2 linked regions of the Caenorhabditis elegans genome follow. The protein of the gene in region 1 interacts with the protein of each later gene in a pairwise test. Each region holds a gene or a part of one and is shown in the gene's direction. Other genes may lie near its edges. The genes, in order: mdt-27 and sdz-12.

Evidence for each region.
Region 2: the proteins of mdt-27 (region 1) and sdz-12 interact in a two-hybrid assay, tested with the Caenorhabditis elegans proteins (one large-scale study listed by BioGRID).

The regions. Positions count from the first base shown.
Region 1 is NC_003283.11:9,208,701-9,215,604, reverse strand, and holds mdt-27 (MeDiaTor), read left to right. Parts: upstream 1-1,950; 5' UTR 1,951-1,953; coding exon 1,954-2,004; intron 2,005-2,198; coding exon 2,199-2,258; intron 2,259-3,261; coding exon 3,262-3,759; intron 3,760-4,367; coding exon 4,368-4,448; intron 4,449-4,492; coding exon 4,493-4,723; intron 4,724-4,828; coding exon 4,829-5,052; intron 5,053-5,659; coding exon 5,660-5,740; intron 5,741-5,804; coding exon 5,805-5,901; 3' UTR 5,902-6,142; downstream 6,143-6,904. Other genes in the region: pacs-1 (Phosphofurin acidic cluster sorting protein 2), read left to right, coding at 1-285, 336-523, 572-1,303, 1,353-1,471.
Region 2 is NC_003280.10:3,729,514-3,733,833, reverse strand, and holds sdz-12 (Zinc finger protein sdz-12), read left to right. Parts: upstream 1-2,010; 5' UTR 2,011-2,285; coding exon 2,286-2,402; intron 2,403-2,525; coding exon 2,526-2,582; intron 2,583-2,646; coding exon 2,647-2,787; intron 2,788-2,843; coding exon 2,844-3,062; intron 3,063-3,105; coding exon 3,106-3,285; intron 3,286-3,352; coding exon 3,353-3,451; intron 3,452-3,502; coding exon 3,503-3,682; downstream 3,683-4,320. Other genes in the region: bath-31 (BTB domain-containing protein), read right to left, coding at 757-876, 919-1,070, 1,115-1,650, 1,696-1,808. UniProt on the Caenorhabditis elegans protein: Together with ehn-3, may play a role in gonadogenesis.

The DNA.
Region 1 (6,904 bases):
CGTTGTATCATCATCATTTGATTCACATTCGATGCCACATTCCTCGACTCTCAATTCAATAAAAAATGATCACGGAGTTCATCGAGGAGTGAGCTTGTCAGAACAATTATGCTCCATTCTTGGATCGAGCATGTCTCCTGAAGGAAGTGATGCTGTTTGGTTGTGTAATTTATCAGAATGGCCTGCATATTCGATACTGGGTGGTCCAGTACCTATTGTAAACTGCCCTTCATTTTCGCAAGTTAGACAGACGCTGAGCCATGTTATAAATCGTATTCAAAATTTGTGAGTGTTTCTTTCTCATTTCATTCTATAATATGAGCTTATAATTCCAGCTGCCACTCCAACTCATCAAATCCTCCGTTGACAATCGTTGGAATCATCGGAACTGACAAACTCTTCTCACAAGTCGTTAAAGCTTATGTGGAGTGTCTGGCCCATAAATCGCTCGCCAATCTCGTCAATCATCTCCGATTCGTGGCCATCCCGTCGACGAGCTCTCTATTTTATAAGATGATCGAAGGTATTTTCAAATTTTCTTTTATTCTAATATATTGCTTGTTATTTCCAGGGATCGATCCACAACTCGACAATTTATGCAGAGATCTCTGGGATCGTTTTGGAGACATGACATTGCCAGAAAAAACTTCATTGGCTAATAAAATTGCTGCTTGGCCAAATAGTGTCAGCTCGTCAAAGATGAATATGCCAATAGGCGAAGCTATGCTTCAATTGACTGCTGATCGCGATCCTGAAGGTGGACGTGTGTTTTTACCTTTCCTCAGTGAAGTTCGTGTCGGAAGTCAACAGTGTGAAATTGAAAATGATGATGACTCAAATGGACTCAATGGATTCGCACAAACTGTAATTTCTCCACGAGAAGAGTCGGTTATATCGAAAACTGATGGATCGTCTCCACCTCATTCTCCACAACTTCGAAACGTCGATGGCCAAGAACTTAATATGGATTTCTGGCCGAATAATCCCGTTCCGCAATCATCACAATACTCGTACGGCTCTGATTTCCCTCCATCATCTTCGAATACAACTCCGAATTCTAAAAAAGATACAGCCAAGGTCACAATTAAAGCTCATTTCAAAACACTGCTTGTGTCGAGATCTCCAAGTTCTGGTTCATTGAGTCTTACCTATTTAAAAGAAAAAAGGAAAGACAAAATGCTACAAAAACTGGGAATGAAGAAAGGACAAAAGCAGAAACCAGAGGAAGGAGCTGCTCCATCTCAAGTATCTTCTATTGGAAGAATGCTTTGCAGTGCTACCGGAAAGCACAATGAATTGACTGGTTCGTTTTTTTTTGTTTTGAGCTGTAAAATAAGCAGATTTATTTTCAGTTATCATCGATGGAAATGCTTACAATGGCATCAGATACTTTCAAACATCTCCACAATGGCAGACGCATATCAAATCCTTCCCAATTGCTTTCTTCACTCCGAATGTCTGCACAGCTTGATCGTTTACATTTTGAGTGTATCTACTCATGTCTTCCAATTTCTTTTTATCATCTCTGTTTCATAATTTACACCTCAATCTCGCTTCTATTGATTTGCCTGTATAATATGTAAGTGTTCCCAAAGTGTCGAATATTAATCTATTTCTTTTTTGTTGCTATTCTCTATGTTAAAATATTTGTACACCTTCCCCCACACGGTTCCGTTTTCTCTCGTTTTCTTGTCCGATGATGCCCTTGAAATATGCTTTTCCGCCAATTTTTCACCTTGAAACATGTGCATCGCACCAACAAACGCTTTATTTTTTATGTTTTTACATTCCGAATTTCAACTCATCGTTCATTCGATTTTTAAATAAAAGCTTTTGATTAATTTTATATAATTAAAAAATATATGTTTCAGTGTTGTTTTTTTTTGTTCCCCCGGGCCAAGTCATTATTTTGTTGAAAAAAAAATTGTTTTAAAAAATTGGCGAGTTCAGATAATGGGAGACAATACAATCCGGATAAAAAGCGAAAATTCGTTCGGAAATACGGTATAGTTTTTGTCATTTAATTTTTTTATAATTAAAAAAAATTAACAATTCACTGGCCCCCACGGTAGCTGAATATTGAAACAAATTTTGATCTCAATTATCTTTTTCGGCAGGGGAAACTGCGGCATATGTTTAGCTTGAAAAAATTACTCGAAACACGCAGATTCAAAATCCTTATTTTTCAAAATGTTCAGGCTGCAAATGGAAGATTCCCAGATACTCCTTTTGGACGAAGGCCGCCCCTTGTTAGCAAAGTAAGTTTGTGTCAATGTCATTTTTTTCTTAAAATCAACTTAAATAATAATAATAAATGACAAAATTTAGCTGCTAAAAATAAATTAAAACTTTATATTATAGGAAACGTTGATCCCTTTAATAACACTATTTGTGAAAAGTGTCGGAAAAAATACAATTAAAAACTAGTACAATTTGTGATAGAATTGTTTAAAGTTACGATGCTAGTAGAAATTTACTAAAAACCACAAAAAAGTTTATACCCAAGTGAGAAAAAAGATTTGTTTTTACATCTAAAACTTGAAGATCCCTTTTTTCCACAAACATTGAAACAACTTTGAGAAATGCGCAGATTTTTTTTCAAAAATAAAACATGCTTCAAGATTTTCAAATTAATTCATATCGATTTTTTGTAAAAATCTCGATTAGTGCTTCTTAGCAATTTTTCTTTATACTAATTTACCTCATTTCGATTGAAAATTGAAAAAAAAAAACAAGATATTCTAAATTAGTTCAAGTAACTATTTAAATCTTGGCACGTGCTGTTTATCGCTTTTATAAACATTGGAATTTTGTTTATACCAAAATTAAGTCATTTGCGATCCCCTCACTCTGAAGTAGTTCATCAAACGCGCTCTATTGAAAACAAGACTAATGCAGTTGTAGGGAAGCGTTGGAAAAGTGTATACCAGCAATGAAGAAGTGAGAGACGCAGACACCGTATATTGCCTATTGCAGAAAATGGTGTTTTCACAGTTAATGTATATTTCTATTTGATCGATAACATTTTTCTATTTAGTTTTCAGTTAGATAGATCATTTAAATTAAATATTATTGTTTTTTCTTTTCATAATTTTATTTAAAACAATTAAAATTCAGTTAAACTTTTTTATTTATTGTGTTGATTTATCTTTTAATTTCAATCACAATCTCAAAATTTAGATAATACACCGTTTTCTTTATTTTGAAAAAAATTGTCAATTTCATTCAGCACTAATTAATATAAATCGGAAAATTTTTTAGATAGACGGTCGAGCCCGGATTTTGAGACCACTTCGTCCGGCAGCCATGCAATCCAATCAGCAACCGACCACATCTGCAAATGCTTCAGGACCATCGGGAGCACGTATCTCTTCGGGTAATATTCCTCACTCTCAATCGATGCCTGTTCTTCAATCTGGAAACACTGCTAACCGACCTTCAACTGCAGGGAATCCGGCAGCTGGACGACCGATTTTAACACTTCCATCAAATACAACGGAGAAGCACGTAATTGCGTTAAATCAATGGGCAGAAGTGATGAAGAGTAAATTGGAGAAAATGCGTCAAAAGTCGAAAAAAGCATTAGACGAATCGATGAAAGAGCATTCGACAATGGAAGATTTATCAAGAGCAAGAGAAGCATTATCAGAAATGGGAAATATGTATTATGAATTGAATAGAGCAGCAGCACTCAAATGTCGATATAATGCTGTATTTGACAAAAGGCCTCTATATAAAGCTGTTGAATCATCAATACAAGTGAGTTTTTGATTAATTTAGTTTAATGATTAATGATTAAGATTCTTAGTTCAAAAGTCATAATTTATAGTTTTTTAAGCTTTTTTTTTTGTCCTAACACAAGTGACGGAAAAAAAAACAGTCTCAATGTAGTAATATAACATTGTTAAGTTCTAATTTTTTTTCAACGAAAAAATTGAAATAAGCTGATGAATTTTAGAATTCAGCGGAATAACTTAAAGCAGATTTTTTTGCATTTTCCGGATATATTGATTAGTTTTTTATTCGTTTTTTTTAAAGATGTGATTTGAAACATTTTTGTCAAATTTTCAGACATTTTACAGTAAGGAAAACTTGAGAAAACAAGAAATTTGTTGAATCTCTAATTTTGGTATAAAGATAGATAATTTAACGTTTATTGTGGAAAAGTCCCTGAAAATGTGACAAACGATGTTTCAAATTCTACAACAATTTAGAAAAATTCTATAATTTGTTTAACAAATATATTCACTATACGGAGACTGTTTTCTTTCATTTTTAACTCTTTCTGCGAAGACATCATTTTAAATGAGAATAAATTATTTAAAAAAACCGTTTGCCAACTTGGAACTTTAAATATTTAATTTCAGGATCTCAGACAGAAAGATGAAAGTGCTTATCAATTATTCTACAAATTACAAGAGGCAATGGACGAGAGGACAGTTATTGAGGTAATATTTGGAAATACTCTGAATTCGTTACATTCTAATTTCAGAAAAACATTATCGCTGTGTCAGAAACATTTCGTCAAAACGCTGTTCATGCTCCGAGAGTCTCAAGATTATCTGTCCCACCACCTTTGAAATTCTCGAAACACGTTGAAGATGCGAATAAAGGAGTTTTCTTAGCAATGGATGCTGTTATGAATAAAACGAGGGGTGATTTGACATGGAGATTCAAAAGAATCAGTCATCCATGTTTTAGGAATTCAAAAAGTCTCATTGAAGTGAGTTTTTCTTCCAGTCTAATTTAGAAAAATATAAACCTTTTTCAAAAATCTTTATTCCCGAAACCAACTCCCGTTTCCCAATGTAAAATGGCTTTAATTCAGGTTCACTACTGTGCTCGGCGCCCAAATAGTGAAAAAGAATTCGTTCCGTGTATGAAAGCTGTTATTGTACTCAAATATGGAATTCTCGAAGATATGATTATTGGAGGCGAAGATGAAGATTTATACAATCAAGAACAAATTCTACATTCGAAACGGAAAGTCTACAGAGAATTCACAAAATCGGCCAAAGAGATTATACTTTGCTCGCCAGTTACAAAGTTTACGTAAGTTTTAAATTTTTAAACGAAATTATGTAAAATTAAAAAAACATGAATTACTGGAAATCTTTATAGAAAAATATTTGTATATTAAGCATTTTTTCGTTTAGAGAAATTTCGAGACATTCCCAATTTTCTACATATTTGGAAATGAATTTTGTGCGCCTAGTACATTTTTAAAAAAAGCTTGAAATCCATTTTAGATATTAAAAAAAAACGGTTTTACAAATTACAAGCCAATTTCCAAAAAATTTCTTGAATTTTAAATAAAGAAAGGTTGGCTCGCATAAAATATGTGTAATGCATAAAAAATCTATATCTTTAAAAACTATCTAAAGTGGATTCGAAATTCTCCTAAAATACCACATTACATTTTTTTATTAGCCACATAAAAAAAATTTTTGTCAAATTCGAAAAACATTTTTTTTAAATAATTTCTTTTAAGATTTTTCCATTATTGTTAATAGAAATTTATTTTTGGATGTAATTTTTTAGTAAAAAAAAACTATTATTCGCCAAAAAAACGATGCCAAATCATCTTTTAATTAGAAAAAAACTCGAAATTTATTTTTTTAAAAAAGGTAATTTTCTTATTTATTGGATTAATTTTCAGTGCACCCACAAACTTCGCCCAATGCAACAATTACATTCAGTCTTATGTGAACTGTTTCTCAACTAAATGCTATTATTGCAAGTAAGTTTTATTTTTTTTTAAATATAAATCATGTTTTTTTGAAAATAATAGTTTTTTTTTTCAGAAAGCATCTGCGACAGTTTATGCCTCCAACCGTTGTCACGAGAGAATCGTCTCCAATCATTTGCCATAAATTATGTTTGATGTCACAGGTCCCTTAGCTTTTTTTGTTGAAAATATTAATTTATTTCCATAGTTCAGTACACTTGTTAGATTCTTTTTGCTCCATGCGTGTCGCTTTAACTTGTTTCATTTCTACGGCCCCACTGTTTCCACTTTCTTGAATTTTTCCCCACTTTTACGAGAGTATTCCTAGTTTTTTTTGTCTCTTGCCAGATCTTCACCATCATCACCTTGTCTCTTTCAATGCTTTTTGATGTGTTCAATAAAATCATACAGACCATTCATCTCAATTGAAAAAATGTATTTTGCAGGAGCACAACTTGTTTGCTCTTTCTCCTTTTGTTTCAATCTGTTGTGTCGACTGGGACAGTGCATGTCGGGACACATGTTGAAGCATTCCGTTTTTATTTCATTTCATCTTCGTCGTTTTTTCCTGTTAGCCTTTCAAATATTGAAAATGTTTCGAATGACGAGGTTTTTCTATTGAAGAGCCATGTTTGCTTGTTATCAAATAGAAAGTACGAAAATATAGGAAACTCATGCAAACAAGGTCGAAGACGTCGTTTATTCCAAATGATGTACGTCTCCACCACCACCACATATCTCTGCTCCCTCCGTGTTCTCTCCGGCTGTTTTCACAGAATATATATTGGAGAGACCCCTGATTCTCTGCGTCTCCTCAAAATATGTTATCTTTCGTCAACCCGTAGGCTCTAGTTACGTTTCAAGCCACTGGGTCCTTTCGGCAGATAGAGCAGTTTTCGAACATTGTTTTGATTTATCTCGTTCTGCTTTTGTTTTTTTTTCACGAAATTCGAATTTTCTGTAATTCTGATAATGATAATGATAAGTTTATATTTTAATTTGAAATCTTATTTCAAAAGTAGTAATTATAGAATAGCATATGCAGAGGTGTTAGCCACAGCATTATTATAGAGACGTGAAAACGTGACACGTCATTTTTAAAGGAACATACCATGTTTTCTCGATCGGTCTCGCCACGATATTTAGACTGCTCCAAATGTTAAAATGCAAATAATT
Region 2 (4,320 bases), on another chromosome or scaffold:
CCTACTATTGATGAACAATCCAGTGATTTCACTCCATGCTACCCCGTTATCCAATTCCAATTTGAAATTATTGATCAAGCTCTGGGTTAAAGGCTTTGAATCCAGACCTTGAACTTTTCATTTTCTACATTTACAATGATTATCCCCACTCTAGCCCAGAGCTACTAATGCCTAATTCAGCCGAGGAATCTGATGTTCATGGCATGCGTGCCTATCGAATTAAAAACATTCATGGAACTTTTTCTATTTGGAGGTTCTGATTTCTTTATTCCATCGTTTTTTCTAATCAACACTACTTCTATTTACGACGACGACGACGAGTTACTGTCAAACACCGTCCGACGATTGAAATCTTCAATTTTTTCCAGTTTTTGAGATTTTTTTCGAGTCTTTCGAATTAAGCTTATTTTCGAAACCTCTAACTTCTTATTTTTCTATGTTTTTGAACTTCACTTTTCAAAACTATATTTTTAAACTCCACAAAATATAACTATGTATATGTCTTATCAAAATACTTTATGAAATGCTAGATAAAAGTTTCTTGAATTCTTGACTTGACTTTTTCTGGTTTGGTCTGGTTCATGATTTGAATTTCTTCTGTAAGTCTTCAAATTTTCTCATCAATATAATATAAAGAAAACGTAAATTTATTTTTTGTACTGGCAAATAAAACTTTACAATTGAAAACAGAGAAAAAATAGTGGCCAAAAATCAGTTATTAGAAAAATGCAATTCATATTTGAAAACGAACAATTTTTAAACTTCAAGAACTCGCTTCAAGACCCGCTTCATCAGGAATGGGCTCATTTCATCAATGTTTCCAGCGATAATTGAGCGGACATCTTGGATGGTTTTGATGGTGTTGCAGCAGTGAATCTGGAAGATAAAATAAGGTTATATTCAGGTGCACGCACTTACCTCTAGTTTCTCCAACTTGTATCTAATTGCCAATTCCAATTTCTTTTTCCCGGACTTCTCGGACTCCTTGTAAAGAAATTTCTCGCATTTCCCAATAACCGCTCTAGAATCGTACATGTCAGCAAGTTGAAGGATTCCTTCGACGGTATTGTCTGAAATTTTTAAATTATTACCAATGTGAGCACTAAAAACTAACCATCAATCGAGTCCTCCAAATAGAGAACTTCCAAAAATGCCTGGAAGGCTTCCGGGTCTATCCCAGAGAGGGTAACCTCTGATTTCTTCGACTCGCCGAAACTGCCAAAGAACAAGGATTTGAAGTAGGAGCACTGCAGAGCGAGATGCTTTCTCAGAACATGAAATCTCTGCTCATCCACTACCAAAACCACATCGGACAGCTCTCCCATAGACTCATTGTCGAACTTCAAAACCGGATCTCTTCCCTTGAACCCAGAAGCGTTCAATATTTGAACATGAACTTTAAAGTGTAGCGCATCTTCAATCACAAAGTTTTTTGCGACTTTCTCCCAATCGGCAAACTGCTTCCATCCCCATGAGTTTTCCTTCGGCTTCTCACTATTGAAATTTACAGTGGCTGTTTTGCAGTGGGGAGATTCATTGGGAGATCTAAGCTTCACTTCAACATTCGCCTGAACTGACCAAATTGTGCCAAGTTGGTCGCAACTAAGATACACCTCAAGTTGATCAGTTCTTCGATTGACATGGAGTTTCCTGGAAATATAAAAATTTAAATAAAAAAAGGAAAGTTAAAAATACCATGGAATATAGTAATATTCTTTAACCTCGCTGCAATAAGTGGTATCCGGCTTGAAGTTGGAGATTGCTTTAATAGTGTAAGTTGACACAAATTCCTTTGTTATAACGAGCATGTCTACTAACCTACTAAATTGCAGAAAAATGACGAATAGGAAGACTTGTAGAGGCAGATTATGAGTGAATAACGCTAGGAGATAATCTTAGTGGATCGATAAAATAATGCATAATGCAGCGTCTCGTTTCCCGGCAAATTTGGCACAGTTGGCAGCTGGTCTTCCAAAAATGTTGTGAATTTTGTTAAAGATTACAATATTCCCCCCAAAGAAGGTGCATCGTCAATGGAGAAATTACTGAAAAAACTGAGATACTGAAAAACTCAATCAGCTCTACAATGTGCAATTACACACATTTCATAAATTCGTCGGCCCCGCTTCTCCAAAAGCCCCAACGTCATATGTGACGCAACTTCTCACAGCTTTCGAGGACACAGTCTTTGAACTTATGTACCTCTTTTTGCAACTACGCAAAAACATTTCTCACTCCCCTTCCTCCCTGCCCTCGGACAATCCGCAGAGATTTCTTCTGTGAAAATGAGTTTGTCATCACTAGACGCCGTATTGTCGCTTATTGCAACCTCTTCCACTTTGGATCAGGATTCTGCTAAGGTGCCCCAGTGTCAAGTTTGCAAAAGAAAGTTCGCGAATCAGGTTAGTTTTTGAAGTGAGCAAAAAAGTGTTGTTAATTTATCTTAATTTTACAAAATTTACTGTACAGCAGATAATCTTCCTTTTTTTGCTAGTTAGTATATAGAGCTCACTACCATTTTTCAGAAAACGCTGAGAACGCACATGAAGCACATTACGTGTAGGCCTGGACGTTCCAATGTGGTGAGTTTTTGAGAAAATGTTTAAGCCACTGAGCTTCTCCTCCTCCAACTATACGTTTTTTCAGGTCAATCACAAATTCAGATGTGAAAATTGTGAGAAACAATTCACCAACAAGCCAAACTTGAAGCGTCATCAAATAACTCACTCTGGTTCAAAATCCAAGAAGTGCAGCACTTGCCAGAGAACATTCTTCAGGGAAGATCAGGCAAGCAGATTTTATTCCATTTTTCCTGTTCAATTCCAGCAATTTGTAATTTTCAGCTTCAAAGGCACCTGCACAACCATCTCAAGGAAAGATCACATTTCGACTGTCCCGTGTTGAACTGTTCAATGCAGTTCGTATTCTATGAGGGCGTTGAAAATCATCTCGTAAACCATCACCACTTTTCATACAGCGAATCGGCTCCGTGTGGAAAATGCCACAAGTTATTCGGGAGTCCTAGGCATCTCCTGGTACACTACCATTTTGATCATAAAGAGGTGAAAAGCTTTATAATTCTTTAAGACTTAACAATCCTTTCAGGCTCTGCGCTCTTCGGCTCCTGCTCCCACAAGCTCCGCCAGACTGTCACCTATCACCGTATCAACTTCAGGAAGTCCCAGAGCTCAGTTGGCAATCTCGCCACAAGAGAAGCCGCCTCAAAAATTGAGCATAAATCTAGGAACTTCCCCGATGATCGAAGAATTCTGTGAACAGAACTCGGTATGTTTTCATTTTCAATATTGGTTTTGGTGCCGTTCTTTGAAACCATTAGACTTGAAATTTTCAGGCAACTCTTCCAAACACTGATCAACAGCTCTCACCAACTCTAAGCCCCAATGAGCCAAGGTTTAGAAATCTAATTACCAGTGAGCCAACCCCAAGCTTTGTAAGTTCTTAAGTTTCAAAGTACACTTTCATCAACTCAAAAGCTCTTCAGGAATGCAAGCACTGCACGATCAAGTTCCACGATGCCACAATGAGCATCATGCATAACGCCCTTCACGCGCCAGGAAGCCCATTCAAATGTGCAATTTGTGGAGCAGAATGTGGAAATAAGATCGTGTTCACCATGCACATCATCACTGCGAGTCATGATTTTGGTGGCATAGGAACTTAATTGATAAGATTCTACTGCTTAATTAATATTTTTTCTTGTTAAAAGTACTCAATGAATCTCGTTCTCGCCCTTGAAGGAAACTGATAATTGTTGATAACTACGGTAACCTACAGTACCCTATTCTATCGTGATCACTGATTTTATGGAGTAATCAAACAATTAGTTGGTCTTCAGAATACAGGACTGGTAGATCAAACTACGCATAGTTTCTTTTTCTATCTACATCTTCTTCACTCTCCTTCCCATTTGCTCTCTGCCAATACCGCGCGCCAAATCGATAATTGCGCCCCACCAAAACACTCTGCGCGGGTTCATTTATTCCTTCACCTCTACTCTCTTATCAATGGACCTGCCTGAAGCTCAAGCTCTTGTGCCAGTTTATTCTCAGGTACTGTAAAATTTTCACAAATTAATTAATAAAGGATCCATTTTTTTTCAGGAATTGCGCAAGGTGCAACAGTTCAAGTAATTACATTCTCAGAAATCTCTGAGCAATCACATACGGAACACCAAATGTGGACTTGGGCTGTCTTCTTACGAAGACGTTAGTGCTTAATAGATAGCGTTTGGCATCATAATCTATCTATCTCTATCTAACTCTATCTAACTTATCTATTTCAGAGGTACACCTGCGAATT